Linked DNA regions of Neodiprion lecontei. The protein of the gene in region 1 binds, or shares a complex with, the protein of each later gene. Links are inferred from orthologs where the notes say so. Each region holds a gene or a part of one and is shown in the gene's direction. Other genes may lie near its edges.

Region 1 (11,812 bases):
TGCGACGGCCTGATATCTTGAACTGTAGAAAAGACTTACGTCGGCGAAGTTCATCCGGTTCGCGTGCTTTCGAAATTCTGTGATCGCATATCGTTCCTTCATTTTCCGTACACGTTTACCGCCTCGCTTCTTTCGACCAGGGTCGATCGGTTTTGGAAGAGGTTTTATGAATTTTACTGGCGGGGGTTCTTGCAGCTTATCCAATTTTTTTTCTATTTCGTCCCTCAGTGCCTGGCCAATGTGACCATCCGTACTCTCGTGACAAGCATCGACTCGCGCAGCCAGCATACTCTTTGTGGCGACAAGCCTCGCTGCCTTTCGCCGCAAGTCCTGTGAGCACAAAAGCAAGTCCAAGTTGAGCAAAAATCAAGATAGATCAGATTGCAAGGTGGAAGAAATCATTGAAACACTTACAGGCGGTGTGTCCTGCACTATGTCAGAATAATAAATAAATCCGGCATGGGGGAGGGCAGCCACCTGGGAAAATCCAGAAAGCATTTTTTTTTGGGAGCCCAAAACCAGAAGATTGCAAGCTGGCATTTTAGATAGCTTTGTCAAACCGCCAGCAATCCCTGTAACAATTGAAATGGACAAAAACGAATTCAAATTTTCAAGATAATAAATTGATACAGTGACTTTGTTTTCCACAGTTACCTCACTTACCCATGATTTTTGCCGCCGTCGAAGCTCCAACGATTATAGAAAGGTTCGGTGCTATGAAGGCCATTCTGCTTTCAACATATTCGAATATTTTCAGCTTGCAATTATTCAGTTCTACGGCCATATTGCAGGCTTCACAAATTGCCTCTTTTTCCTCTTCAGTCATAAGTTGGCTAATGAATATAACGTAGATTATTGAATGAAAAAAAATTATAGTCAGCAATTGTTTAACCAGGATGCTAAACTTGATTGGAAAATTCACCCTTGAGTAGTAGATGCAGTCACCGACACCACCATGATAGTAGCTTGCGTTAAGAACTGCTGCAGCTTCTCATTGTTCTTAGCTCGATCCAAATCATTCCCTAATTCACAAACTGTCATGACATACTCCAATGGACCAACTACCAGCGACTCCAGCTCAGGAAATCTTTTGGAGTACTTATCCCTTGTAAATCTATGAATGATTGCTGAAAAATTAGGGACCTATACATATTGGCAAAATTTGGTATCCGTTAAAACTTGTCACATTGCCCTAACCAGAACCTACTTTTTGACTGGCAATTACAAAATGAACCACCCATTGAGCGTGTTAAAGCTGTTGCAATCTGCGGGAAACTTACCAATTTCATCGTCGATATCGACGGCAATATTGTTTGCCTCGACGATGAGCTGATACTCAGGGTCGGATTCAACCGGACCTACGATGTCGGCTGACTTTCTTGGTATTTTGCCATAGCTGTCTATGAGAGAAACGACTTTCTGGAGCTGCGGAGAGTCGCGCAATTTTGCGAGTTCTCGAACGGAAGCAACTTTGACCTCTGTAATAAAGTATCGAATTTAATGTGAAGTCTGAATTATCCGGTAACTGATATGTATATGCAACAAAGACCGTGGATAGTAAACCTGACCTTCTTCAATCGTCTTAGCAACGGCTGCAGGTGGAATAAATTCCGGCTCAGCCTCTTCCATAAACTTGTCCGCGTCATCGTTTTCCTCCAAATCGGCCAGCAGCTCGTCAGCCAAAGACATCTTGGATTAATTGGGAAGTTTATTTCAAGAGGTATGTACTTGGAGGATTCTGCAACTTCAACCTCAATTCCTAAACTTCTTCCATCCTAATCTGAGCAACCTTTTTGTTTACGTCTCACCAAGTCTCGCGCGACGTTGCTGTGCTCAACCCGCGAAGTAATACTATTCGTGGCTCAACCGTTTATCATAAACAGAGGTTAATGGTGCCAATAGCCAATGCCCACTGTGTGTATTTAAAAATGGCCGATTTCACGTTGTTCCTGTATTTAGCTACAGATGGCTGCAGAGACAAGCGAATAACTTGAATGAACCAAAGAACGAACATTCTGTCACTTTGAAGTTTGGCGGCAGGTAACAATCAGGAAGTATTTAGATCTAGAACCCAGTTAGGCACGCCCTAAAGTAATTTCGAACCACAGTCCCTGTCCAGGAATTTCCGCAAATGAATCAGACATGTCCGGTTCAAAGGTGAATAAGCATTGAATACAGAAAACAGTCATAATAGATCCAAACTTATCACGTGCCACAGTCATCTCACAAATTTTCAAATTCGTTAGAATTTACAGAAGAATAAAGGTAGTCGGATGTCATGGTCCTTTGACTGTGACGTGAGTGAGCGAGATGTGGTGACACCTGCGAAGCGACCGAAAATAGAAACAGAAGTACCGTCCCTAGACCGAGTGTCACGAACGATTGATATTTATGACAAAAAAACACATATAAACAGCTTACCGGCTCTTCTCAAAGCTTGCGAACCTCAAGAAGCCTCAGAGTTATCTATTAGCCGACAAAAACAAAGAGAAATATACGATTGGTTGGAATATAAAACTATCAAGAGCAAGCCATGCGCTTTGATTCTCTCTGGTCCTTCGGGTTGTGGAAAAACCGTTAGCTTTAAACTACTTGCCAAAGAGAAGGAGTTTGAATGTGTCGAATGGATCACACCGGCTGATCAAGGCGCGGATGAAAATAGTAGGTTGATCAATACTGTCGATAGCATAAAAGACATTTATTTTCAATGATTAAAAATAGGAGAAACACTTGATGTTGATGATAAATACTCCTTAAATAATTTACTACCTCTTCTCATAGATAGATTCACGAGGCAAGGAGACAAATTTCAAGATTTTATGGTCAGAACTACAAGATACGGTTCTCTCTTTGAAGATTGTTGCAGACGCCTACTACTCGTTAAGGATTTTCCAAATGTTTACTTCAACGATAAAGATGCCTTTCACACACTCCTCGAGTGAGTCTGTGTTCCAGATTTTGCATTATGTATGTTGAATTCAAGTATGACGGTTATAATTATTTATCAGGCAATACTTTGGGACGGGCAAAGAACCAGTTGTATTTATTTGCACTGATTCAGGGGGCATGGGAGCGCTGCAAACCTTATTTCCACCAAATGTCAGGGAAAAATTTGGTATTTGTCATATCAGGTGAGGCTCTCGTGATGAAATTGACATTTCATGTGGTTTTGTAGCACTAGAAAAATATTCTATAATGATATATCACTCTTCACTGTAATCAACTCGTTGAATTTGACTGTATTGCTTTGCAGCATAAATCCAGTCACACAAGCGGTCACGAAGAATATTTTGAAGAGAGTTTCACTAGTCTTTAACACCAGAGCCTCTCACATGGTACACGTGTCTCAACATATCGTAGAAGAAATATTATCCAACAATATCGGAGATATTAGGAGCACTGTTATTAACCTCATATTCGCTTCTCTGAAAGGTTTTTACGTACAGCCTTTTCATAGCACTTTACACAGCTTTATATACAGCTGCTGGATTTAGCTCCAATGTTATTCAATGTACGTATGCTTTTAGTACCTAATAGACAAATCGATTGCGAAGGAAGAGGTCGTGGAGAATCTTTAAGCCTACTTCATGCCATCGGTCGAGTAACTAATCCCAAACGTAAGTTATAGTTCATTTTCAGAAGTAAATCGAAAAACATCTTGTAGAATTATATGCTATGTGAATTATGAGCTACATCACAAGTTTAAATTAATCTTCCGTTCAAAGTAACGTGAAGTTCCGAAAATACCGATTTTTTGATTATCCAGTACTTGGTAGTCATTTAAATTTTCAGGTCTAGTCGAAGGAAATTCATGGAAGTTTGTACATGACCCAGATGAAATTGCGTACTTCTTTCAAACTCAACCATCTACGTTCGCGCGGTTTTTACATGAAAATCATTTGAATACCACAAGAGGAATCGAAGAAGCTACTGCAGCCACTGATATACTTAGCATTTCAGATTGTCTTATATCTGATTGGAGGGTATGTGGATTACATTCCAAAGTGATATGTAAATAATATGTGATGTAAGTTGTATGACAATGAAAAAATTTCAGGACTCGCATTTGGGCAGACTTGGACTCTCGTTTTGTATCCGTGGAATAATGATTACCAACAATGATCCTGTGCCGGGTTGGAATCCAGTAAGAAAACCACGTAATGACGAAAAAATGTGTGTATAGCTGGGCATGGTTATAGTTTCGAATTCGATATGTGGAAATGAATGTTTTCATTGTTATTTCCAGCTGCAGGGATCTCGCATCCACTGAAACCCTCTGGTACAAATCGCTGATCAGCCCTAAATTAGCCTTGACAATAACATTCAAGGGGCTTGGAAATTAAAGGATATACATTTTAAAATACCAAGATTTTTCACGACCCGAAAACAAATTGCCGATACCACGTGTTTCGTCAATGATCATTTTCCAATTATATTTTGTTCAGATATTATTATTTTTTTATTTAAACGGCTATTTCTAGATACGTTTCATACAGAGACTGTGAACAAGCTCGACTAAGAGCCCGTTGAATTATTGTAACAGCTGCACAAAGACGACTGGTTAATAAATGATCTTATCGAAAATTTGCTTCACACTTGACCCTGGTTACAGCTTGACGACATTTGACCCTTGTTTCACCACGGTTTGATGTGGGTGTGATTCTTATCTGGTGACACGCAGCGTTGGTTGCCTAGATCGTGATTTATATGGGCGTCATTGGGCGTGCGCAACAAACGGGTTGTCCTGTTATCGTTCCGACCAAAGAGTTTACTAATACTCTTCGGTTTCCGACAGTCTGTCTAACCTTCAAATCCGCCAGTGGAAATTGACATCGGTAAACTAACCTACAATGTATACGCCGGACGCGGAGGAGAAGCGTAATGGACGGCAAAACTGACAACTGACTGATATTGATAGTGTGAAATTGCGTAGGGAAAAAATCCGCACCGTTAACATGATAGACTCAATATCGTGGAACAGTGCGAGGGATGAGGCAATTCATCGAACGGTCGGAGAAGCGCAGCTAAAAAAGTATGGTAACTTTTTTAACAAATCAATCGAGGATTCAGGCTGGGTTCCTGACACATCTCTGAAATACGTCATCCAAGGGCCGATCCATCTCGTTTACAACCCCCGCGAGGACATTACCATAATGGACATGGTAGAAATGGAGAACAAAACATTGGCCAAGCTTCTCGCGGCGGTCGCGGGTACTTGCAGGGAAATCAGACTACTGAAAATCGAAGGTAATAAATTCTACCAGAGGCTACTCACCCAGGGCGAACGATGCAGTGTTGACGAAAAGGGGGACGACGTCAATGTCTTGTTATCAATTCTGCAGGACCTGTCAGCATACGTCAAACGGGTATCGCTTGTCGCAAATTTGACCATCCAGCAGCTGTCGAATCTGACGGGCAATGCCTATGATATATACTTTCCGCTGGTCATTGAACATCTGGTTGACTTATTTGTAATATTTGTAACTCTAGATGAGATCATCGTTGCTCAACCTTCGCTACTCGATACTTGGGATCAGTACTGCGTCCGCGCTAGCACAATGCTCCACAATTCTGAGCAATTCAATATACCTGGCTCAAAGTTACGTACTTTTGAAAAGCTGCTGAAAGATCTGCGCCATCAACTTTTGGCTAACAATTTATTTCTCGGAGCTATCGACAGGGCGATGGATGTGAAAAAAAGCCCAATAATGCAGAATCACTTCGCTTGTTACCTGAAAAATACTATGCTGGATGTGGAAAAGAAAGCCAGTGACAATTTATTGTTTAACAAAAACTGGATACGTACAAATGTAGGGGTCGTCGTCATTGTCAAATTGTTCGGAACTGTAGATAAGAAGATTTTTAAGAGGCTTTGCGAAATGAATAAAAAATACTACTCTATTACTCTGATTGGCAATATTATCTGGATTCCAAATAAATTTTTGGCCAATTCAGTCCCAAAAGAATTTGGCTTGGTAGTCGGTTCGCAAGCCGGGGAAAAGATCCTTGCCTCTAAGATCCAAAGATTGCCAGAAGTCACAAATTCCCTGGCTAGAAGGGCGACCCAGTGGTCAGTCGAGATGCAGAACATTATCGTGCATCCTGTTGAGAAATTTCACCAATCTGATCTGGAAAGAAGGTGCTGTATGCTTATTGAGTTTGTAATCCTGGTGCAGCAGGTAAAAGAGAATATATTTTTCACCACTAATCTTCACGCTGCTCTGCTAAAACCAATGAGCCGAAACATTGTCCAGCTTGTATGCAGACTCATAGAAATGCAGAAGTCACTTGAAACAACGTTTTACACTTTCGGCTCAGTCATTATTCAGTCCCAGAGCCATGTTATCCAGCATCTCTGTTATCAAATATTGGTCATCCTCGAAACGGCCAAGAGAGGACTGATGCTTAGCAAGGACAAAGGATACAGCAGGGAGCAGCTCGATACTATGACATTGATAGGCCTTGGTATGAGACTAATGAACGGTCCCCCGACAGACGACAGGAGGCTGATAACACGCTGCGCTCTGGCAGCTGCTAGCCAACTGACAGACAGCTTCAAAGAGGAAGAACTAATCAAATTGAGGGGATATCTGGACGCCTACGATACTATCGCAGAATTACATGACCTGGTTAGGCAGGCTTGCGATTACTCTAGCGTACTCTATCATCGAAGCATGCTGCCCGCTTACTTGAGCATGGTCATAGATGGCAACTCAGATATAAGTCGGATTGTTCATTTACTCGGTGCACTAAATAGTGCAGTAGCGGATCACGAGCCTCCCAACTCCGTGGGAAGCAGAAATAAAGAGCATAGGGAAATGCTAGTGAAAAATGTGCTAGAACCAGCCTGTCACGAGATTGAAACCAGCCTGAGGTTACACGTTCACGCGCATCTCAAGCTGGATGACTCGAATCCATTCAAGATTGGTGCTGTTAATTCCAACAGGATAGTCAGAGCCTCTCCACTGCCTGTTGCTGATAATTTCTTAAGCCCAAAGAGGTTCATCGAACATTATTTGGACAGCATGTTTTACAATCTCACCACCGTGGCTCTACATGACTGGAGGACGTACGGAACAATGCGGAGATTAGCTGGCTATAAACTGAATCTAGAAATGGTTCAGGATCATTTACCAACACAGAATTTGGAACAGGGTTTAGATGCGCTTGAAATAATGAGAAATATAGACACATTCGTTGCCAAATACTTGTACAACTTAAATACACAGACTTTCATAGAGCGTACTAGTTCTAATAAATATCTGAACACAATCGGGATAAGGCACATAGCGAACTCGATCAGAACCCATGGCAATGGAATAATGAGCACTACAGTGAATTTCGTCTATCAATTTCTCCGTGCGAAGCTACACACATTTTCACAATTCCTATTTGATGAACATATAAAATCACGATTAATACGAGATATCAGATTCATCAAATTACAGAGAGAGAGCAGGGCGACTCCTTATACATATGAGAGAGCTGAGAAGTTTCAGAAGGGTATACGCAAGCTTGGAATGACGACGGATGGTCTCAGTTATCTAGATCAATTTAGGATTCTGGTATCTCAAATAGGGAATGCCCTTGGTTACGTTAGACTGATTCGGTCTGGGGGTTTGGACGCTTGTTCCAACGCGATTGCTTTTCTTCCCACAATTAATTCTGACACTGTGTTTGAGTCGACATGTAAGAAGCTGGACTTTACAATAACTACACAAGCTGCCGGAAAGCGGCTCGACGATGACATTGCAAATTTAGTGCAAAGCTTCACGGAAGGAACACAATACTTCAGACTACTGGTAGATGTATTCGCTTCTGCATTCCGCGATACAAAAAACGTCCACTTACAACAATTTTACGCCATCATTCCTCCACTCACACTCAGTTATGTCGATAATGCTCTGGGAAACAAAGAGAAAATGTCTAAAAAGAATAAGACCGGGGCAGCATTCACCGACGATGGATTTGCAATGGGAGTCGCATACATTAACGCCCTTCTTGATCAGAACACGGAAATAGACGGACTTCAGTGGTTCAAAACCGTCGAGGAACAAATGACTCGAGAAAGAATAGCGGCGCAGCATAAAGACGATTGTGGCGACGAAAAATTACAACAGACTAGAGCTTTAACATTAAAATGTCTGGCAGAAAGAAATGCTGAGTTTCAACTTCTCTATTATAGCCTTTCGGGCGCGCGAGTATTCTTCAAGCAGCCGGATACGTCTTCTCTCTGAGTCATTAGCTATAAGTTTTAATGTTAAATTTGAAAAACACGTTTGAATATTATAACCAAGCGTATAATAGGGACTTTCATAACAAGCATATAATACCATGCTCTGTATTACGAAATATACAATTTTTAAGTAACTCAAATAAACGGCTAAGTTTATACTGATACTAGTTTCAGTTTGTCCTTCAAATGTGTCATCTCACCTTGGTACAAAACTAGCACACTGTGGGTATCAGGTTTTCCATAAGTGTGACTTCAATTTCTGTCGCGCAATTTTTTTATTGGTATGTCTGACGAATTTCAACGTCTTTGCTATATTTTTCTTACTTATAAACTGTACTAAAGTAACAGTATTATCGGTAGTATAATACATTCGACGATTGGTAGACAGATAAATGACTAGATATGCCGATCAGAAGAGATTACATTGCTTTTACAATCCTAATATTGAACAGTTCTCTGATAAGCACACGGAATGATATTGAAACGAGGATGGTTACGGTTTATCTTGAGGCACGAATTCAAAGCTAATCGTTTGGAGTTATTAGCTTCTGCCGCGGGACTAACCCCAAGTAGTTCATTTTATGCATTAAGTAGGTATTAAATTTGATTCCTGAATAACTACGCAATCCGTAAAGGGTCCTTTGTGAGGTAAATTTTCATTTGATTCCAGAGAAATGAAATTCGACGACTAAATATCTCTGATTTGATTACGTGTAAGAGCTACCAGATCCTTGAAGTGTATCCAGGGTATTGACTATTTCCAACAATATCTCTTCACCTCAATAATTACCAAGTTTTTTGTGATTATAGCGACAATATAAGTATACGTTGGGTTATTATTTTAATATAGCTTGTTGAGGATTCCATTTGCTTGCATTGTTATATTTTCTTTCACTGATTCTCTCCTACTTGCGTGACTAGAATCTTTGCTTTTCTTCAAAAACCAGTAACATTACTACTTTTTTTCTACACCACATACATTTCTAACCTGAATATTATTCAATCTGGTCAGGATAACGATGTTGACTAGAGATTATAACTCTGTTCCTTTCAAGGAAGTACTGGAGAACAGGCGGAAGCCTAGTTTTGAGATCTGGATACTTCCTCAGATTCCAAAAGGTCGTCACACGATGGTGTGGGTGGTAGCAGCTGTCTTCCACCACGTTTCTTACTCCGTGTAAACACCTTGGTGAGCTGGGCGAATTTACGCCGCGAAACTGTAACAGTATGTGAAAAAGTATTTAAAAGTTTAGACGCTTCTTTGGCAAAGCAGGCCTCAGCTTCAGTTTATTGAATAAATCCCGTTTCTCAATACCTTTACCCATATTTCGTAATCTTTCTTTGAATAAATCCTCATCGTCGTGGCTTACTGTGCCTGCAGATTTCTCACATTCGTCTAATTTAGTATCTACAAAAAAAACAAAAATAATGGTCGGATTAATCAGTATCAGACACGGCGTACATTTGCTCTTCTTTATAATTTGCCTGACTCATCGACTGACCGCTGGCCAAGGTGGAAAGAAAATCTTCATTCCACCTCAGTTCTGCCATGAATTCTTCGTTTTGAAGAAAGATTGCAATACGTTCGTCCTCCAGTGTGGAGCCTTCTAATGCGCCGCCAGGCTCCGGCATTTCGCAGCTCTCGCTCCACTGCCTGGGAAGCCTCAGAAATGTGTCTGGCAACGGACCTAGCAAGGGAGGCTGCCACTTGTGAATAGTCTTCAGCGACTTGCAAGGCTCGATTTTAGCCTGATTATCTTCAGATGAATCTTCGCTCTGCTCAATCTCACTTCTGATCTTTTCATTCTCGTTGTCCGTGCTCATTGCCAGTAGCTGATCGATAGTTGTGTCAACTGCACCCTGGTTCGAACGTAACACAGCCTGGAAAAAGATATGAGCTAAGTTTAAAATATTCTGTATGTATTTATTTCAAATATACGTGGAGGTGTTGGGTGTAAACAAGGTGGTACCTCGATAACGTCATCGTCCATCTGTGGAAACATGTTTTTGAAGTCAGCCATTGCCTGGTAAAATTCCAGGGTAGTCTGTTGCTGTTCTGCAGCAGACGCCATGGCAAAGATGCGCTCTCTTACTTTTGCATTACCAACGCTGCGACGGTCGAGCGATTATAGCCTTTGTTGTATCACGTGGAGCGGTGACTTCGTCGCAAACAATAATATCCATTTTGAAATATTTTTCGCACGTATAACGCACACACATACGTACTCCCCGCGACACGGAGCACTTCTAATTTGCCGATGCCGCGATTGCTCCGACCCAGTGCAAACTATTGTATATTGCCCGGCGCCCTGCTGATATCCTCATAGGATTTCCAACCCCAATACGCAGAAAGATCTCGCATTCTGGCATAATAAAGAACTCATCATCATCACTTTACCCGGATTACAAACGAGCTGCTGTTATGACAGTTGCGCATCCCTCTCAAATCGACTCGGCTCTTCGGTTCGGCTTCGACTGCCCGCTCATGCCCGCTGCCACCCGCTGCTGCACGCTCTAACTGCTGCTAGCGTGAAGTAAGTAGTTACGTACACGGTGCTGCCAAGGTGCGGGCATGGTAACTAGAGGTGAGGAGTCCGAACGCAATGCTAGCCAAATGGTCGGTGAAAGTGATGAACGATCCGCGGATTGTAACCGCCTGGCGGCGCTACCACTGCGGGCATCGTCAGCGCGGTGATTTTTGAATCGTCGATCCTCACGTATGTATCCTATTCGTAACCAGGCGCTGATATCGCTTGAGGATACATCCCGAACTACAAGATCTTTCATCACTGTGCGTTCGGACTCCTTTACTCTAGTCCAGCCCCCTGAACTCACCACTGCTCGTATACTAAAAAATTGTACGTGTTTTGTCCCCGTTTTTTAGTTCCTCTACGTGGCGCTAGTAGATTTCTGACACGCTCGCTGCCCTCGCTGACCACGCGCGAGCTTGTCAGACAACTACTAGCGCCACTAGTGGTGGAGATTGGCGGCAGAATCGAGGGACATTTTGCGAACCGCTTTTAGCAGCGTGTATCAGGGGGCTGCTCTAGTCTTCATGGTGCGGGGTTCCTAAATAAATAGTACCGCAAATCGCCAAAAATCGGCGCACAGGTAGCCAAATGTAGCCAGTTTCCCAACTAACAAGTAACCCCTAGGACCCCTAGGCTGTAGCGAAACGAAATTTTGCTACCAGGGCGTCTCAACCACGGAGTAGTATGTCTCAAATCGAACAATTGGCGGATATAAAAATATGACGATAAAGATGAAGAAAGGTCTATTCTGAATTATAATTGTATCATTTTATCGGACATATCAGAATCTCCCCTTTTCTATTCTAACTACACATTTACGTTTTAAATTGAATGCAGAACCGATCATAAAACGATTCCCGGTAATCTACATCCAATTGTATGAAGGACTTCGGAAAACACCAGAATAAAAAATGGACAAATTATTACGTACCTACATTTATTATCTCTTAAAACGCTTGTACTTATAGTTTTTCTTTTCGATCAAGGCATATAATATATAAGCCCTATTGAAAATTATTCAGTGATGCCGGTATGCTGCGAGCAG
Region 2 (10,262 bases), on another chromosome or scaffold:
AGGGGTCAAGTACCAGCTCAACATCAACACCACCGACTACAGACGAACGAATACCGCTGAAACCACTCCCGATGGATGCCTATCTAGTTGTCGAAAAGGGTCGTGCGTGATGCACAACAGCACCTCCAACTATTTGAGACTTATCGGCCAGGAGCCGAACCACGAACGAATGTTTCTACCGCTCGGATGCATCGTCAGGCGGCGTACAGGGCTGTGCGTCAAAAACACAATGAAGCCTCCCGTCGACGATACTTATCAGCCTGGAGCTGAACCGACCCTAATATCTACTAAGTCGTTGACTATACAATAGAAGACGGTTTTCTCTTAACGAACCGTCTTATCGAAGGACTGCGGCGTGGAATAGGCTAATGATATGCTGACCACGTGGATCTGGTGGATCTAGTGTGGGGATCCGGGTTGAGGGCCATCACCACCAGATCGTTCCGGCATGAGGGCTTCCATGAGCGAGGGCCGGGATGCAGCGCCGACGAAATAGCTACAACGGGGAGTACCAGTAAAACAAGGAGTGAGTTACAGTCTGTCGCAAGTCCAGGAGACCGGTGACGTAACATTGCCGCACACATCAATATCGCAATACCTGAGCAGTACGACCCCACCCCCTTCTCACCAACGATACCGCATAGCTGCAGGAAAACATCTCTAACCACCTTCCGACGTCCTGATACCTCGATACCCGTCGTCGAGGGAAAAGAACATCAAACGGCGAGGGATTATCGCCGCCTATCCGTGGACCAGGCCACGGGACCAGCTGGTCCAATTAAGATACCGCAAATTTTGGGAAGAATCACGTGACACCAGCTCGATGAAAATCAGGATCATCGCTCATCTCATTACTCTACGTTCAGTTGTCAATTAAGAAAGACGTGTTCTCGATATCTGTAATAGAGTTTTTTTTTTGGCTATCATTGTATTAAGTTTATCGCTAGTGTACCGCATCCTGTAGTATCTACTATATCTTCTTTTACGTAAGTGAGGTTCCTTTGCTATTTTGTGAAGCCACGAGATTACTTGCAATATATCGTACCTTTACCTTTATCTCTTTCTCTCTTTACCTTGCAGTTGGTCTGCTTGAGCCAATTGGGCTCGTATCTTTTCTCTTTACCTTGCAGTTGGTCTGCTTGAGCCACCTGGGCTCGTACCTTATTATCTCTTATCTTGTCCCTTTCTCTGTCTTATTGCAAGTAACTTCGCGACTGGTTGATTATTACTTACGCATTGTAGTGACTATCGCTTTATCTTATTATCTTTCTCTTTTAGAATATTTGAATGTCTAATATCGCTGTCTAGCAGCGCGTTCCGTTAAAGGATCAATTTTTATCTTAGCTACTGAGCATTACTATTTTGTTATATTTTCTCTGATTAGTTTCTATCTGTCTCTTTATCTATTATCGTTGATTATCGCATCTTAGTGAGAGTACCGCGGGAGCGATCTTATATCGCTGCGCGGTCCCGTTCGTCGTTCATTTGACATTGGAGTATTGTGCCATATCGCATAACATCTTTTTCACTATTTTCTTCGCTTATATCGCTGATCGTAGTTGTCCGTAGTCTATTGGGTTTGCCGTACGTGGCATATTAATTACCTTGAATATTGTTTGCCTTATCTTGAATTACCTTTTATCGTACCGATTATTATCTTTCTTTCTCTCGCACTTACCGCAAACCAGAGACTACGTATTATCTTTTATTCTCTATATTTTATAATAATTTTCTATTTGACCTATCGCTTGAATTTACCTTGTAATTCATAATTCCCTGTCTGCCTATTTCTGATCATTCTGGTAATGTGATAACTATTTCAATTGTTGTATTTCGCATGAGTTATAATCGCTTCTCACATTTTATGATTTATTTGCTTACCGCTTAATTTAAGTACAGTGTATCTCTTCTGTTCTGCCTACCTGTCATAGAACCGTGTTAATCATTACCTTTAATATCGCGAGCTTGCTCATATTTCCCGCTTATTCGGAAAACGTTCCGTTAATTGTTAACTCTCTCGCTTAACCTTTCTCTGGCTGTAACTATTGTTAATTATCGCATATATCGTATTTGTATCGCAAACTCTTCCGCTACTTGCTTGTCAGTAAACTTATCGCTTCTTGTTTAATATATTTGATATTATTCCTGCTTCACCTGTTTCTTATTTTATCTATTGGATTCGACTCCGCCCCTCTACCATTATCTTGTCTCTCTGAGCGAACTGTGCAAAACCGTCGTAGAACCTGACCTTACCTTTATCTATTACCTTTATCTTTATCGTTGTCTTTTTCTCTAATTATCTATTTTTGACGCATGTGCGTCTGGCGCCCAACAATTGTATCTTTCTCCCTTAGTATCTCTCTCTATCTAATTATTTAGGTTAGCGACTGCGCCGTAGGGTAACCAATTATCGTTATATTGTTTATACCCTCAAATATAAAAATATCCGGTTACAGTGTATATTATTTGACAAGCACAATTAAATCCGGTTAGAAGAGCATCAAAGAACACTGCACATGTATCATAATATGTCTGTGATATTTCAAGCATGCAAATTTAGTTTATGCGGAAGTTTATAGGGATTAAGAACAATCTATTGTAGTTTTATAAGTTATACACACAACTATATTATACGTATAATGCATTAATATCGACGATAATTGTCAATTAGATTTTGTGGTACAGAAGCGTTTTTAACAATAAAGGTACAATGAGTCGAGCCGATTGAAGAGAAAAGTTGAACTGCACTTTCTGCACCTTCAAACACTATAACTTTGTCATAGTCAATTAGGAAATGTGCAAAAATAGTCGTACGTAGATATGTTGATGTATTTGGGTATTTGTTTTGTGCGGTGGGAAATGTGCGGTGTATTCTTTCGACTAACACCGCGGAGGTGGTTATGATAACAAAATCCGCCGTTTCGAATTCCATTCATTGTGTGTTAAAAACGAATTCAATGTGTTGGTTGATGTATTACGTTGACTGAAGAATATTCTTCAGGCAACGTGCATTATTAGGGTTAGCGCGCAAAGAGTGAATCTTGGTTATGTACTCTACTCAAATTCAGCGCGTAAATTTGTCATCAAGCGTGGGTGACTCTGTCAGTGTCTGCTAGAGGGTCCCTCGGAACGAAACGTCAAATCGTACGTCAAATGGAGAAATGTCAGAAATCAGTTGACCATCAGAAGTCGTCACTTTAGGAGACTCTAGGTTACATTGTACAATATTTCACTCTCTTCTTAGCAAACTGTGCAACATGAACGATTATGGGATTCCGATGATCGAACCTACCGTTGACTTTACTAAGGTTAGTTAATTTTATCCTAATTAGTCCTTCGTACAAGGTACAACACGATATCGTTCGTCCCCCGGTTCCCATGTCACCAATTTTCGTATCTACAGTTCAAATTTTTATTAGTTTACATATCAATCGTAAAATCATCTACGATAATCGCGTTTCTGATTCTATACCTACCAACAATTTCTATGCTCGTCCGACTTCTATTAATTACTCGGCAGCCAATTAGAATTAGTTTTCTATGTGTAGTCATGAGCGCAACGAAACTAAATTTTGGGTCTGCCAGTTACTTGGATCTGGACTGATCTGGGTACACATGGTGTAAATATCAGAAACAAAGTTCATATGACCTGTAAGGTCTAAAAGTTTTAGCTGACGTAAATAGATTATTAACATTTAATGCGTCCATCCTGTACAGATTAACAGAAATCGAAAATTTGTGTAGTTGGATTTTGAGTCTCTAACGTATAGAATAACATTTATTTTTAGGTCCCGCCGATTCATCAAAAAAGAACTATAACGTTCGTTAATCATTTTATTGTACATACAGTAACATTTTTGAACAAGTTCGCTCTATCCTGCGAGGAAAAACTGTTTGAGTTTGAAAATAAATTGCAAAAAGTTGAAGCGTCGCTAGGAATCCTTGAATCTAGGGTAAGCAAAACTACTAATTATCTTAACATGTTTATTCAGCATCACACATTACAGCAGAGGGACTATTCGCAAGTGTTAAGTCGACTTTGCACTTTTTCTTCATTTAATATGTATGTGAATAATTAAAATGAGACGCTGTGCTTTTTTATCAGCTCGCGTCGATACCAGAGATTGACTTTCCAACAAAGACAGAGTCTTCACCAATCACTGAATCAAGTGATCAAGAACAGAAAACGGTGGAACAAGACCAGACAAATGAGATTGAAGCGGTGAAAGCTGAGTTGATTGATGAAAAAAGTGAAATTAGTAACACGCAACCCATCAGTAAAGATCCACGATATGCAAAATTCTTTAAAATGCTTCAGTTTGGCGTACCTGCGCAGGCTGTCAAATTGAAAATGAAACAAGAGGGTCTAGATCCACTTTTGCTAGAGTGAGTATTTCCAGAAAATAACTCTTCTAACATTTAATATTTAGACTATTTATACATGAATTTGTTTTAAAATTTGAAAGGGGCTATGTACTGGGATAGGCTGAAATGCTGTTACAAAAATGTCAAACAATCTTCATAGACCTGCTGTAGCCTTCTTTTCAGTTTGTGTCAGTATATAATATTTATTCAAGATCTTTCATGTAATCTCTTATGTTTCTTCAAGAATATAAATGCAGATATTTTGGAATCGGCATATTCGTTCCAAAATTACTTCAAATTACCTTTTTGAATAGTTTTATTAGGTATTACGGATGCGAATAGAATTTCGAAAATGTGTCTTGTTTCAAGATATACTGAATATAAGACTACATTCACAGAATATGTGACAAAGAATTTAACACACTTTGATGTTCAAACAGCAATCCTGATCAGTTGGTTCCAATAACGGAAATAGTTGAGACAAATACAACTACTGATGAGGATGATGCTTGATAATAAACTGAAGAGTAAAGGAAGTATGCATATGAAACAGTAAGGTACAAAGAGTATTCACAGCGCTCACGAAGTAAAATATTTGTCATGTTGGAAAAATTTTGACAGACCCAGTTGATAGAAAAGAAAAGAAAACGTAATATATGCATTGTTGTTTGATATAACCATTTAGTAAATAAACACATTTCAAATCTTGAACGATTTATTTTATTTTTTTGTTTGTATAGTTACAATCTTAAACGCAAGGTTTAGAACTGGATCATCTGGCCCTGTAAATAGAAAACAAAATATTCTGCAATTGGTTACTGGTTTAAATTAATTTTTATGCGTGTTACTTCCATTCGGTTTAGGTGCGTTAGTTGTGGGTAAAATTCCTAGGGACAAATATCTCAAACTCTCATCAGACTAATATCGATAAATGTTTCAATCGCTTTTGAAATATCACCATATGGAATTTCGAGACTTGTTTCAGATTATTTAAATGGCACAAAGACTTAAACAAGTTTGAACTGTTTGGAATCAATTTCCACACATCTCAGCACCGAATATAAAACGATCTAGATGCACTAGGTTTTGAAAAACCCACCTTCCTCTTCTTATCACCTCCCAGCTCGAAATGTTTGCAACGTTTAAGTGGGATTTGCTTTCTGTACTTGCACTCAGTGCATTCCATCCTTAGCACAATTTTCTTGGTTGTCTTAGCCTGCAAGGAAAATAACGTCAATCAATAAAATGCTCTCTGGGTTATGACATACTGATCAGTTAGTCCAGTTCTGTAGAAGCTTCAAGCATGACAACTCCAGAAATGAATGAAAAACCAATGTTCCCATCAGTTAAAAAAAAAATTACTCACTTTTTTTATTAGAATTTTTTAGGAAAGTTTTAGAATTTTTAAGCTACCTTAAATTTGAAAAAAAAAAACTGTGGTAAAATATCAAATGAGCAATTAAAGTTAGCGAGTAATATGGAATAAGAATACGTACCTTCTTTCTGAAAATGGGCTTCGTTTGACCTCCGAAACCTTGTTGCTTACGATCATAACGTCTTCGGCCCTGAGACGCATGCCTTTCCTTGCTTTTCTTATATTGGGTGACTTTGTGCGGCTTGTGGACCTTGCACTTCTTGCAGAACGTGCGCCTCTGTTTGGGTACGTTCACCTGTAACGAAAGTTGTTAAGCTCAGGATGCAGGTATCTGTGTGAAATGCAGGCAGAAGAGCCCCATGAGATGTTCACGTGCAGTAAAAACCTCGCGCAATACATGAAATTTTTGGAATTGTCCGTCTTATCTAGTCCCCACGTCGGTAACTGATTTTTTAACAACGTATTAAGATTTATTAGTATCAGTAGGGGATTTCGAGGTTATGTTGACCGTCTGTCATGTCGTCCCTTCGAACGAGATCGCGAACTGGCGATTGAAGAGAAATATCAATTGAAATATAGTGCTCGGGTGGTTTGATCATGATATGATTCCATTAAGAAAATCAATCTATTCGTTTTGCAAGTCGATGCTGATGGATGAAACTCCACAAAATAAAACACAATTCACCTACCATCTTGGTTGTTTAGAAGAAAAAGGAAGCGGAGGCAGGCCGGAAATGCCTGTTAGCTGCGCGGTACGCTTGCGTAGACTTGTCCGCATGAGTTTAATACCAATATATTCCACCGTTTTCTGATCTCTTCAACCTCCGATACTTCTTTCGATCAATATCTCGAGCAAGGAACCGATGACGAATAAAATAGGAATCTTTTTCTCTACGTTATTCACTGTCGAGTAAGAGTATCACGTGCCGCTGCGATACCCACGTATATTTGGTAGGTAAGCCGGCTTTTTCTCGTCAGGAAGTTTAACAGGATTGAATTATTTCCGCTTAGTTATTTTACGAAATAGAATTTTAGATACCGTTAAAAAACTTTTTTGGACGTAATTTGAGTAACAATTTGATCGACGAATTGCAGCGCTAAAGCCAGTTTGAATCAAGCGACAAAGCCTCGAACCAGGGCTCCGAAGTACGCTTCGTACTCTCAAACCCCTCGTCCGCGGAAGTGAATAATTTTATTTATTCAATATAGATATTGATTGCAAGGTATAAAGGTTGAATAATTACTCATGAAATGTTAAAATTTATTCACTTTATTAATCGGTGCATTTCAGGTGCGGCGAGGCCTGAAGAGAGATCGACCAATCAGGGATTTATCGAGCTTCAAACCCGCGCCATCTTCATTTTTGAACAAAGCCAGGTTGGACGGTACGCCGAGTGAGTGAAGTAGTCCGCTTCAGTCCGCTCCGAGGTCCGCTAGTCCTCCGCTTTCGTAAGCGTTTCGTGCACTCGCCGGAAACCGACGCCGCCGTCGTTGTGTCGTGTCCCACGCCGAAATCGAGGCATCGAAGACACACAAGTTTCTTACGTTTTAACAATTACCAAATTAGAAAAAAAAACCACCGTCGTCATGAGTACCAAGGAGAATAACGACGTTGCCGTCGAGAAGGCGATTGATAACGAAAAAACCTCAGATGACGCGAAATGCGAAATCAAGGGAACGAAAAGGCCGGCCGAGGTAAGTTGTGTGCTACCCCTCTGTTTGTGTATTAAACGTATAAGTATGTAGATGTATGTATGTACGTGAGCTAGTACGGTGGATCGGCGAAGCTTCGAAAGCATCATAACAACAATTAATCTACGCTCTCGACGCGGACGCTCCGTAATTGCAAAATTTTTCCCTCAATACTTCATCTCGGCTCGGGGTTTGCCGCTATCCCCGCCACAACCGCGTGCCAATCCCGTAATTTTTCCATATATTTTCCATATCTCCCTGCGCGGCGTGACTATAGCTCCGCCGTGATGCATGCAATTGAACACGCGCGTGGATCAAATATGTCGCCAAACCGAGGACATTTGTACACTACACACACACACACGTACGCACGCGCGCACACACGTACACATCTACACACACGCAGCTACCTATTTCGCTCCGAAAAGTAGGTGAACCTTTCGCGCGCGCGTCGTTGTGTGCGATATGCGTATCGCTCGCTCGTGTGTGTATTAAGCGTCTCTCTCTATGCGCGTAGCGGCGTGTACATACGTGTCACCCCGTGATGCTACACACACATTGTTGGTGTGTAATGAAAAATTTCACCCAACTACATAACGCTTCTATTAGTAGTAATAGTTGTGTAGAATTGTAGTTTACAACGCGCTGATGACGACGATAGCCATGTGAGAGATGCCGGCCGGCGCGTCTCGTCACATACTCGACTTCTTTCCCTCCTCTGTCCGCTTCGCTTCTCTCTTCCTGTTGCAACGATCTTTATTTTTCCTTACCTACGCTGTCGCCCCCTTGACCGAGACATTAATTCTCACATTTGTGCATTATAAAAGCGTATAGAGCTCTCGCCTTAACCCGGCCCAAGACATAGCTCGTTAATTTTCCGGCCTTCCGATGACGCCATTAATACGTATGATTATTATTACTATCATTACTGTTTCGAGTATTACTGTTATTATTGCTTCTGTTGTTGATCGTGGCGGCCAGTCGATGCTAAAGAAAACTTATTTTTATTGTTGCTATCAACATCATCGGTATTGTCGTTACTATCATTATTATTATCATCATTTTATTGGAAAACTGGGGACTCCCGCGCATTTTTCTCACGACCCGATGCCCCCGCTACTGCGCTTGCCGCGTTTGTGTCGCTTGATGCTTCAACCACGCTATGGCGCCCAATAGTAGTAAGCAATTACTGTGTACACTCTTACGTGAACAACTGATTACAACATTTTGCCACGGAAAGAAGCTGATCACAGCTTCCTGACATCCTGACTTCCTGTTATAATAATTCATCCTTCCCGAACTGTCGACTATTCGTGGTTATTGAAATTATAAATTCCATTTTTTATTTTATTTTTCATATTAATTCTTCCCCCCGTCCGTCCACTCCATTGAGAGCTAATTTATAATTCGCGATATCGTTGCATTACAAAACCATTTCTCCATTTAACTTGGGTAGGTAGATGTGAGATGTGTAGTACAAGAATTTCCTTCGTGTATATTTGGTTATAATGATGTAGATATGTTAATATCGTAACTCTTGGATGTTGAAAAGTGAAAAGTGTAAATTACGTTACATTGCGAGAAGCTGGAAAGTAGATGATAGGGTTAGCGGCGTGGCAAGGGGGATATGTTACGGCGACGTCGAGAGGCGGCCAGCACACATAGATATAATATCCTCTACCTGTGATTATCAAACCGGCGCTCCGTTTGTACAGTGCCTTGGTATCCATTATCCACGCTTGCAATGAGTTAGAACGAAGTTCACGAAACATGATCTTGCCTCAATACACTGAGCAATATGCAAGGACTACTACCAATGCTGAAGACATCGTAATATTCCCCCTCTGATAATTGACGAAGGAATCCACGTATAAATCGTAACATATACCGTATATTTAGAGCGGCATGACGCTGGGTATTTACTGTATACCTATGGATTGGATTATCGTACTTGGCTTTCTATTCAAAGTTCTTAAATAATTTGGTAGAATGTGCCTTTCTTTTTTTATATTCTTTTTTTTTGTTTTTTTTTTTTTTTTTTTTCTTATTTTGGTGCATGCATCATTTGATACGTGTGGCAATAGGATTGGACGCAAGTTTACGTACGTTGTGGGCTTCCGATTCCAGAATCACTGAAGGATATTGTTGGCGGGAGCGACGCGGCAGGTAAGTTGGGGATTCTTCCTTACCAACCGAGTGGCGTGGCATCGTTCCTCTTGCATGTGCTGCCCCTATGCCACTGCTACACTCAAGCGATAAACTTTGTTCGTTATTTGCACAGTTACGTATCATTGCAACTTGTTATCTGAATTTGGACGTCCTAATACTCTTACATTACATATGTAACGTATCATAATCTCGTCAAGGCGACGTAACGTAACCGGTGAATGAGCTATTTGGATAAATAATTAGATATCCCAAGTATAGTACATCGCGCATAGGTGTACGTGTGAGGGCGGAATTACGTTTATACATGCATACGTCGTCGAGTGCTTCGAGATATAGATTATAACAAATATTAAGACATGAATAAGGGATAATAATTTTTATTTCCGTACATTTCGAGCCGAAAATATCCTGACCTTTGGTTTCTCACCACTTCATGTGTAAGCAGAATAATTTTTGTTTTGCACTGATAAAGTTATGGACTATTGGCAAAGCACTCAATGCATGCACTAATCGATTGATCAGATATTCCATAAGTTGAATTAGGTCAGACGAAATGACAACACGAAACTGTCGGAATCCTTTTTGATCGTGCTACATTTTTTTTTTGTAGGAGATAATATGTTATTTAAATTATAACTAAAAGAAGGCAAGCGAAATAATC
Region 3 (9,514 bases), on another chromosome or scaffold:
AACGTGAAAAGACTGAATTTCGATGAAAAAACAGTTTCGTTGAAAATTATCAGCAAATTTATATTGTTATAAACAATTAAAATGTTTAACTCGATTTTTAACAATTCATCCCACCGCGTAGCGCGCTCTTAGTATAAACATCGTATTCCACGTAAAATTTTCGATCAAAAAGGCATTTTTAGTTGATGGATAAATTGTTATTACTATTGGAAAAAAATTAATTTATCTAGCGCGGCACGTCACATCGCCGCGCGGATTCCATTGCACGCCTCATTTTCTTGCTTCGTATCGTTTGTATATGCAATATAAATGCTAATTCTATATTTTTAATTAAACAATATTATTTATTAGCAAAGAAGAACAATATATAATATATATGTGGCTTTCCACGTCAGATTGACCTGCGGAAAAGTCTCTTCGAATCTGTTTAAAATTCGTGAAAACTTTCTGTTACTTGTCGAGAGTGTTTGTGATTTTTTTTAGATTTTTACTCCATAACACTTATTATTAGACGTTAGCATTCGGTATAATATCTGCGGAAATCGGAAACGTCCGAAGTGTAATTAAGTATTACTCGTAAGCTATTGATTGTATAAAAAAAAGTTGCATATGAAAAAGTTTCAGTTTTGAGTGAACTTCAGCGCTAAATTATGCAAAAGGTATCGTGGCCGCTGAAACCCCGTAAAAGCTCAAAGAATATTAGTTTCTGAGATTTCTCAAAAGCGGCATAATTTCTTTCGACAAAAATTTCAGAGCATATTCCTTTCTTACTGTTCAAAAACTTGTGTAAAATTCATCATGGGCCGGGATCTGGTTTTCAAGGTATGATTTTTTTTCAGAATTAAAAAGATAAAAAAAAAATTGTCTTTATTTTTTTGTTCAATCTTTTATAAAGTCTTATTTACTAATAAATAATATTATTTTATCAACAATATAGAATAATCATTTATATTTATATTACAGAGAAAAACGATACGAGGCAAGAAAATGAGGCGTGCAATGGAATCCGCGCGCCGATATAATGTGCCGCGGTAGATAAATTAATTTTTTTTCAACAGTAACAATAATTTCTCCATCATTCAAAAATGCTTTTTTGATCAAGAATTTGACGTAGAATACGAAGGTTATACTAAGAACTCGCTACGAGGTGAGTTAAAGATCGATTTAAACATTTTAATTATTTATAACAATATGCATTTATTAATAATTTTCAATGAACCTATGTTTTTATTACATTTCATTCTTTTAGCTTTAAAATGAAAAAGAGAACTATCTAGCTCAAATAGAACTGGAGCTATGAATTTTTTAAAATGAGTCTCCCCGCCGAAAATCACCAGATTCTCAAATTTTCGACCCCATCTATTTTCTAAAATATGTGAAAAAAAAATCCTCGAATACGTATCTCTTTTTTTCGATGTAAAACCAGTAAAAAAAATTCAGCTGAATCAAAAATGTGTCGGTCAGAAAGGTGTTCGGTTTGCAAATAAATGTCTCAATGCTTAGGCAGATGTTGACCACGATGCAGTAGATAAGGGACGAAATTACTGCATTACGGGATCAAATGGCAGAGTTGGCAGAGTTCACCGAGAGGTCAGAAAGTTAAACAGAAACTGGACACATCACTGAAGACGAGACTCGAGTTCACAATTGGAAGAAGTATTCGAGGAATAGCACAGAATGCCTTGTGCGTGTTAGCGCGGGTCGGATGGACAGGTGGGAGGGCAAGCGCCATTTTTATAACAAGCAACTTGATAATTCTCGATATACGTACCTAAAGGAAGCGTTTAACTGGATGCTTGAGAGATAAGGGAAGACTATAGTACCGATTTTTAGCGCACCCCAATGAGAAATGGGATACGAAATGCGCTCAGAAGAAAAAATAATTATAGATCAACGAAAGAAATTGAAGAACAAAATGAAAAACTGGAGAAGTTTTTGTGATCTAAGGCAGCTGGTTACATAGATAATTGCATCTACAGGGTGGTTGGGAGCAGAAATGAAATACGGCAAGGATTTATGCATTCAGATTTTTATTGAACATTGTCATATGATGAAAAAGTAGGATTATGTATGGTGGCTAAAACAAATATGTACCTATAAAACTCCGAAAGGAGAGTTTGACTGAATAACTCGTTATTATTATTTTCGTACATGCATAACGATCGTTTTAGCGTTTTCTTAACTAGTACTTAAATAGTACTGACTTCCAGACACAGAGAATTCAATTAGTTCTAAATAAAATCTGGTGAAATTAAGAGAACTCGTTACACTTATTGTTAGCTGTAACAGAACTGGGTTGAAGTCAAAAATTGTTAACGAAAGTCAGGTTATACTATACTATACTTGACGATGGAAATTACAAAGAAATGGCCTCAAGTTCTCAAACTTCGACCTGATATTTTGATCAGCACCCATTGTTAGTTTTATTTACTGCGTTGGATTTGAGATTAGTTCTTAAGATAGTAAAATTATCGCCAGAATCGAATTTTATTGTACAAACTACAACCTGCGTCTAATTTGAAATATTTTCCTCTTCATTTCATTTTGCTCTGTCATATTATATTTTGACTATTATAAAGCAAATTTTAATGGAGGTGTTAAACTTTTTTCGAAATAGAAACATGCAGTTCAGTTTTATCCTCATAATTCTATAAAAGTATTGGGGGTTCAACGTTTTAAAAAAATTTCGATTATTGCACTTTATTACCTTATTTGAATGAATATTAGAACGTTTGGTTGCTAATTCTGGTTGATAGCTTCAGCCGCGTCAATAATAGTTGTAAGAGATAATTTAAAAGGTCAGCAAATCTAAAGGGATTCCAAATTCTTAGGTAAAGATCTTAGTACTAATAAAACAGCAATCAAAATTTGAAGTAAGTGCACGTGATTTTGAAAATAAATCAGCAAAATGCAAAATTTGTTAGCTGAAAAATCTCGCAACGTCGGCTAAGTTCATTTTGACGTTGAATTTGAGACATGAGTCGGTAAGTTATAATTAAGGTTATAATTAATGTATTTGAATATCCCGAGGTATATTAATAGGTCGCTAATAAGGCGGACAGTTTGCATCTATAACGCCTGCAACAATGCAATCATGCTCACGCACTCTATCCGACTTTGCTGCAATGAGTCCGCAAAGCAGAAAACTAATGTTTTGACGTGGTCTATTTAATTGTAAGTGGAGTGTCTCGTCAAAAGGTTCAACAGATTAACCTGTCTCTAAAATGGGGGACTTTCTGGCATTGAATAACGGATGCGGCCAGAATATTTTACAGCTTGTTTCGCGTGGAAATGCTATTATAGCTGAATTGATGCGGCTAAAGGATTACGTGCCGCCAATTTTTAGGTTAGTATTCTCTGTTCGTTTATACCTCTTCATTCTCATATCGTCATTCTGCATATGCATGTAAAACGATATCACGATGGTCATGCTCATATGGAACACCTTCAGCAATTTCCAATTCACATAAATAATACATCCACATTAAGTTCTCACTGAGGTGTCAAACTGCAAATGAGGTATTCATTATTCTATAAACGTCCGTCAATCTCACTATCATAACTTGTCCCTTACACCAATTTATAGGCAGGCGGATCAACGTTACAGCCAAATCATCTTGGACTTCTCCTATTTCAAGGCTGCCGATGCGTATGAGCATAAAATAGAAAACGATTCTGTGAGTCAAAATTGTAATCGAAGCTATAGATGGATGTATTATATCAGAATATAATAGTTTACTCACTAACCAAATGGTCTGACAAACCCAGGTATCGCAGGAACTGGACGAAGAGATGCGTGATACATTTTCAGATATTCTGACTAGATTTTATTTGGCTTTTGAAAGCATTCACAAGTATGTTACCGATTTGAATGCTTTTACCGAAGAATTGGAGGATGGAATATACATACAGCAATCTATCGAAACAATAATGCTCAGTGAAGAAGGAAAGCAGTTGATGGTATGGACATATTGTATGTGTCTGGTCAGCTTTGTTTACTCGATATTAAGGAAGTTAATCAACCAAATATGCGGATAGTGGTCGCAAAAAAGGAGAGAATTTTATTTAAAAATATTTGCAAAAAAGATGCTTACTCATTAGAGATATAATGTAATTTAAGTTCCAATAGTCGTTAGCTTTCTGCTGTATTCCAAAGCAAGGTTATATTGCTGCATGAACTCAATTCTGAATATTATTTTTAAAACATATGTGATTTAATTTTGTCTGAAGCATATTTTCATGTGACATTTTGGAATGATGGAGGAATTATTCCTGGTGATTAAGAATGTTAATTCCAATGGATACTATGCTGAACAGCTTTCAGCTGTGTCAACTTTTTCAAACTGCGCTACAATTTTTTGAATGTGTTATGACTCGATTTGCAAACAACTTCACTTCATCAGATTATTATAGCATGTTCTTTTTTTGAAATTCTCTTCAGAACAAAGAAATCAAAAACGACTTTTTAAGCTATCCCACTTCAAAGAAATTTCCTGTTTACTAGAGAAGTCGGAGAATCTTTTGAGTGTCTAAAATTGATCATAGTTTGTAATAATATAACAATCTTTATACAAAATATTTATTCTGATCTCTTTTCTACAACTAAAATTCCATGATTTACTTGAGAAAAAAGTAGTAATTCATATATCGAATATGAAAGACGAAAGCAGGATTGCAGAAATTACTTTGAACTCACATCTGTTTCACATAGAAATATCTGATACAGTAAATTGTTGAAAGCAAAAGTTTCTGTTAATTCCGAATTTCACGAAACGAGCGATGTTTTTCATTCCTGGACGCAGTTGGTTGCCCGCAATAAACAGCCAGACAAAGATCAAGAATATAAAAATTCAAACCTTTCGTAATCCCTGATAAAAAATTTCAAAAACTATTTGCTTTCCCACTCATGATCGTACATGATGTAGCAAACTGAGCAATAATATTGAAATCGTCCTTGTATCGCAGTGTGAGGCAGTGTATTTGTACGGAGTCATGCTTTTGTTGGTTGATCTGCACTTCGAAGGACCAATTCGAGAACGGCTGCTTGTTTCCTACTACCGATACAATGTACAGCATATATCAACGACAAGGGTAGATGATGTTTGTGTCCTACTCAGATCAACAGGATTTAGCAATGCACCTTTCAAACGCCCTGCAAACTATCCGGAAGCATATTTTAAGTAATATTTTCCCTCTTTGATTTGAATTGAACATTCACAAAATTCTAGGTTAAAAACTCACAAAATAATTTTTTCGTATACAGACGAATTCCGCTCAACACTCTTCTTGTTGATCTCGTAATAAGTCGCCTTCGCTCGGACGAAATATACAATCAAAGTCTGGCTTTTCCTTATCCAGAACATCGGAGCATGGCGCTAGCCAGTCAGGCTGCTATGCTAGTCGTGGCTCTAGCCTTCAGCCCGTCTACGCTTCACTCTCAAACTTCGATAATGAGAGAAACAGTCGATAGATTTTTTCCGGATAATTGGGTGATCAGTATATACATGGGGCTAGTCCTGAACTTGTGGGACTGGTGGGAGCCATATAAAGCTGCAAAAAATGCTCTCAATAACACGTTTGAGGTTTCAAACGTGAAACAAATTGCTCAAAAGTATGGGCAGAAGTTAAAGGTATGCATACGATGTCTGTACGTTATTCTTCTAACAAAATTCAATGCTAACAAAAAATGTTGAGTAAGTTTCTACCTGTGATTTTCAGAAACAGGTAGCCGATACCAAAGAATTCCAATTAACCAAAAGAGTGGAGGAAAATGCAATCGGAAATACTGTCAAGCTTGTTCGTGACTGTAATGTTACTCTTCATTGGATCCTTCTCCACACCTCAATGCCTGGTATGTTCAGCGAAGGATCCAAACGATCGCGGAGTATCCGCCAACTCGTTATACAGGAATCCAAATACATCGCCATTGAATGTCTCTGGCTTTTGCTTAATACTGCTCAACTAGAGCAAGATGTTAAACAGATGTACAAACAGGTGAGACATGTTAATGGCGCGTATTATTTCAAATAATGGTTATTGAAGAAATGAAATATCTCAGTTATAATTTTCATCCTGCACTTTATTTTACACCAGTCTACTTCTACTTAGTGGAACATTCAGCATCTTTGAAATGTTGTACATTGTACAATAGAGTGAAGTGAAGTCAGATTGAAAATAAATTTCCCAAATAAACTAAGTAGGTGTGAAATGATATTTTAAAGGCATTCGAGGATAATGAAATTGTACGGAAGGATTTGCTAGGTCATATTTATTCTACTTGTGAATCTTTTCACTTTGAAGATGTCCAACTTTACAGTTTGTCTATTCGGTTTAAGCACAGCAGATGCTGGGGTTCTTAAGTAGATTTGTGGTTATAAACTCTGGCCTCGGCTTTTAAAAAATTGAAATATCCAGTAAATTCAATGTTCTTTTAGTGAGTATTAATTTTCTACACAGCATTATTTTATGCAATGCAAGGTGAGATTGAAGCGAATAGATATACTGCAGCTGGTGCCATTTCCTCCATCCATTTCCTTATACTTAGACACTGTAATACTAATGTAGAGTTTTAAAGAAAGCGCATCATGAAAAAATTAGTTGCCTTAACTGCTTTGTCAGATAGTCACTTTGTTATCTTTACATTTTGTTTTAATACTAACTATACTTGAACACCTACGCAGCTGCTGACTGACAAAGAAACAATTTGGACTCGTCACAAAGAGATTTGCGTTGAACGTATTTCTGGTTTGGCAGAAGTGTTCAGTGGAAACAGGCCGCTAGATGGGGTAGAAAAGAACGAATGCTTGCAGATATGGTTCAAAGAGATAGGAAAACACGTTGATTCCCTACAGCAAGACGAGGGAAGAAAGATAGTGCAGCTGTTTCAGGCCCTGGAAGAAGTTCAAGGCAAGTTGATTGTCTATGGTTTTTTGTTAATTGTTCAGAGATTGTTGTAACATAAACTTACAGAGTTTCATCAATTGGAGCATAATCTACATATATCTCAGTACCTCGCTGACACTCGTGATATACTGCAGCGTATGCTTCGCACCAGTAGCATAACTGAGGATGTAATGATCGCCTTAAACATCGTAACAGACTGTAGCTACGCATGGAACATTATGGAGTCTTTCATAAGCATCATGCAGGAGTGTATTAAAAAGGATCCACCGATGGTTACCAAATTGAAACCCCTTTTTTCGAAGGTATTATTCTCACTTCCTGATATTGCTCAATACTCATTTTATTAGTAAAAAATGGTAATATTTCGCATTGATAATTTCTAAAAAAAAATCGTAAAAACGTTGTGAATTATGTCCACTGAAAATTGACACACACACGGTCAAAAAGTAAGAACCATGTTATTGGTGAAATGAGGTTTTTTTTCTTAACCTTGAATCCATATCTCAACTGCAGTTCCCATTGAGTTCAATTATTTTTTAACTTCTTGTCAAAAATTCCACATTTTCTATTTACTGTTTACTGATACAGTAAAACCTCATTTAAACGTTAAGCACTTGTACGTTTTTCTTGTTTATACCTTAAATTTTTCTTCGTCGAGGCCATTTGTGCCTATGAACCATGTGAAAATATCTCACTTGCAGGTTTCTCGTTTAACGTTTGGCACATATACTCTACGTTAACCGTCTCATAGCACTGTTCTCTAACTGTTAAACATTATTGCAGCTGATTTTTAAGTCCAGTCTTTCGATTTGATGTTTGCCTACCGCTAATTAACGCACGCGTTTTGATATTTCGTGTTCTTATCTACTGCTGGATGACGCAGGTTGACCTATGTGGCTATTGCTATCCCAAAGACGTTTTGGCAAGTTCAGGTCAGCACCATATCTACGGAGAGATAATTTTTACTTACCGTCACTATATTAACTTTAACCATTCGACAACTAACTTATTTTTTGGATTATGAAGAACACTCTGGTTCAAAATGACCCTGTTCCATTTTTGACGTGTTACCTGTCGAATGTATGAGTCCAATCTACCTCAAAAAATTCAGAGATGTAATTTCACTATCTTAGAATGTGATCGTGTAGTTTGTATGTATAAATATAAGTCATAAATACGAGAAAAAATCTGGAAGAGGAAAATTTTTGAGAAGAATTACAGTTTTAGAAGAAAAAGGTACAAGTTAGACCAGCGCAGTATGTTTTTGAATGTTTAAGCTAGCTGTGAAATGCTCGAACTAACTCTAATTAGTCACTTGGGGTGAATATCACCAAACACATTATTCAAACTTCTCGTAGAGTCCTTTAGTATCATAACTTTGCCGATGTTTTACAATATTTAAACAATCAATTGTGATTGGGAAAAACTAAGAGATCTTTTTCTGCGACCCTTAATCAATACCTGGATATTTTTATTAGATTTTTAGAACTCATTGTTGAAGCAGGATATCACTTTTGGAGCTAGGGTGAATTTCAGCCTGTGTGACTGTTATGCGATTTTACTGAAGTGTTACCAATTAGTGTTAATAATATTAGTTGGCAACATTACATGACCGAATAATATTTATAAAACCACTGGAAATCATGAATTTTTCATCTGCTAATCATGAAGGTTTGAAACATTTAGATATTTCGCTTCAACGTTATTCGCACTTATACGTAAATATTGCCATATCCCTTGAAAAACGTATAACTGAAGTTTCACTGTATTTGAAAACAATGAACTATTTAAGATCAATACTTACATGAAGGAAAAGAAGTGAAAAGTTCAGGTACACACAATATATATAAGGGGTACGATTAGGTACATACTTGATATATTTTTAAGACAAGGACTAGTGTGAAATATCATAAAATAATCAAATTAATTAAACGAAAGCAAAAAAATTGTTATGAGAATATTACTCCTTGCAGATGGCATCTGCATTGGAAACTCCACTACTACGTATAAATCAAGCTCACAGTTCAGATTTGTCTTCAGTATCACAGCATTACAGTAGAGAATTGGAAGTATTTGCCCGACATGTTCTTCAAGTTATTCCAGAAACAGTGTTTGGCCTACTTGCACAGATTGTCGATTTGGAAACCAATCATCTCAAAGAGATACCTTTGCGATTAAGCAAGGATAAACTGAGAGAATACGCACAGTTGGATGACAGGCTCAAGGTACAAAAATTAAATTGTCCTCATCATGATCTCCTTATTAAGTCCCCTTTATTGCTACAGGTAGCTAAGTTAACGTACACTGTATCAGTTTTTACGGAAGGGGTGCTTGCCCTAAAGAGTGTTTCATTGGGTATTCTTCTGGTCGATTCTCACCAGCTACTTGAAGACGGAATAAGGCAAGAGCTTGTTGAAAAAATAACCCTTGCCTTGCACAGTGGCCTTACATTCGATGCAAAGTCAAAGGTAATTAAACAGTTTCATTTTTATTTTCCCAGATCTAAGTAGGATCAAAATTAATTTTTTACGACTTATTTTCTGATAATCTTGATTCTAAAAGACTAGTGAATTGCTCAAAAAATTGGAAGAGCTCGCGGTGGTAATAGACG

What was found. The genes of interacting proteins can lie anywhere in the genome.
Region 2: WASH complex subunit 4 (region 1) and WASH complex subunit 3 share a complex: the UniProt entries of both Drosophila melanogaster proteins name them as parts of the WASH complex. The link is inferred for Neodiprion lecontei from reciprocal best matches to the Drosophila melanogaster genes SWIP and CCDC53.
Region 3: WASH complex subunit 4 (region 1) and WASH complex subunit 5 share a complex: the UniProt entries of both Drosophila melanogaster proteins name them as parts of the WASH complex. The link is inferred for Neodiprion lecontei from reciprocal best matches to the Drosophila melanogaster genes SWIP and Strump.

The regions. Positions count from the first base shown.
Region 1 is NC_060263.1:182,852-194,663, reverse strand, and holds WASH complex subunit 4, read left to right. Parts: upstream 1-4,629; 5' UTR 4,630-4,955; coding exon 4,956-8,237; 3' UTR 8,238-9,164; downstream 9,165-11,812. Other genes in the region: U4/U6 small nuclear ribonucleoprotein Prp31, read right to left, coding at 40-330, 415-572, 664-833, 923-1,127, 1,281-1,478, 1,569-1,689; cell cycle checkpoint protein RAD17, read left to right, coding at 2,143-2,157, 2,247-2,661, 2,782-2,938, 3,009-3,131, 3,254-3,432, 3,528-3,617, 3,793-3,983, 4,058-4,173 and 1 more; CUE domain-containing protein 1, read right to left, coding at 9,317-9,453, 9,552-9,644, 9,739-10,117, 10,207-10,308. UniProt on the Drosophila melanogaster protein: Acts at least in part as component of the WASH complex which may regulate wash nucleation-promoting factor (NPF) activity and is required for its membrane targeting during endosomal sorting.
Region 2 is NC_060262.1:41,777,798-41,788,059, reverse strand, and holds the start of WASH complex subunit 3, read left to right. Parts: upstream 1-3,101; 5' UTR 3,102-3,257; coding exon 3,258-3,308; intron 3,309-3,788; coding exon 3,789-3,953; intron 3,954-4,105; coding exon 4,106-4,386; intron 4,387-4,466; coding exon of another isoform or gene 4,467-4,485; exon of another isoform or gene 4,486-4,553; intron 4,554-4,805; coding exon 4,806-4,878; 3' UTR 4,879-5,126; coding exon of another isoform or gene 5,127-5,147; 3' UTR 5,148-5,464; coding exon of another isoform or gene 5,465-5,581; 3' UTR 5,582-5,861; coding exon of another isoform or gene 5,862-6,035; 3' UTR 6,036-6,429; coding exon of another isoform or gene 6,430-6,432; 3' UTR 6,433-6,963; intron 6,964-7,031; 3' UTR 7,032-7,435; intron 7,436-10,262. Other genes in the region: 60S ribosomal protein L44, read right to left, coding at 5,127-5,147, 5,465-5,581, 5,862-6,035, 6,430-6,432. UniProt on the Drosophila melanogaster protein: Acts at least in part as component of the WASH complex which may regulate wash nucleation-promoting factor (NPF) activity and is required for its membrane targeting during endosomal sorting.
Region 3 is NC_060261.1:22,758,695-22,768,208, forward strand, and holds the start of WASH complex subunit 5, read left to right. Parts: upstream 1-3,130; 5' UTR 3,131-3,224; coding exon 3,225-3,346; intron 3,347-3,586; coding exon 3,587-3,677; intron 3,678-3,768; coding exon 3,769-3,960; intron 3,961-4,965; coding exon 4,966-5,180; intron 5,181-5,263; coding exon 5,264-5,630; intron 5,631-5,718; coding exon 5,719-5,994; intron 5,995-6,680; coding exon 6,681-6,906; intron 6,907-6,969; coding exon 6,970-7,205; intron 7,206-7,208; exon of another isoform or gene 7,209-7,282; intron 7,283-7,540; exon of another isoform or gene 7,541-7,979; intron 7,980-8,876; coding exon 8,877-9,128; intron 9,129-9,188; coding exon 9,189-9,371; intron 9,372-9,465; coding exon 9,466-9,514. UniProt on the Drosophila melanogaster protein: Acts at least in part as component of the WASH complex which may regulate wash nucleation-promoting factor (NPF) activity and is required for its membrane targeting during endosomal sorting.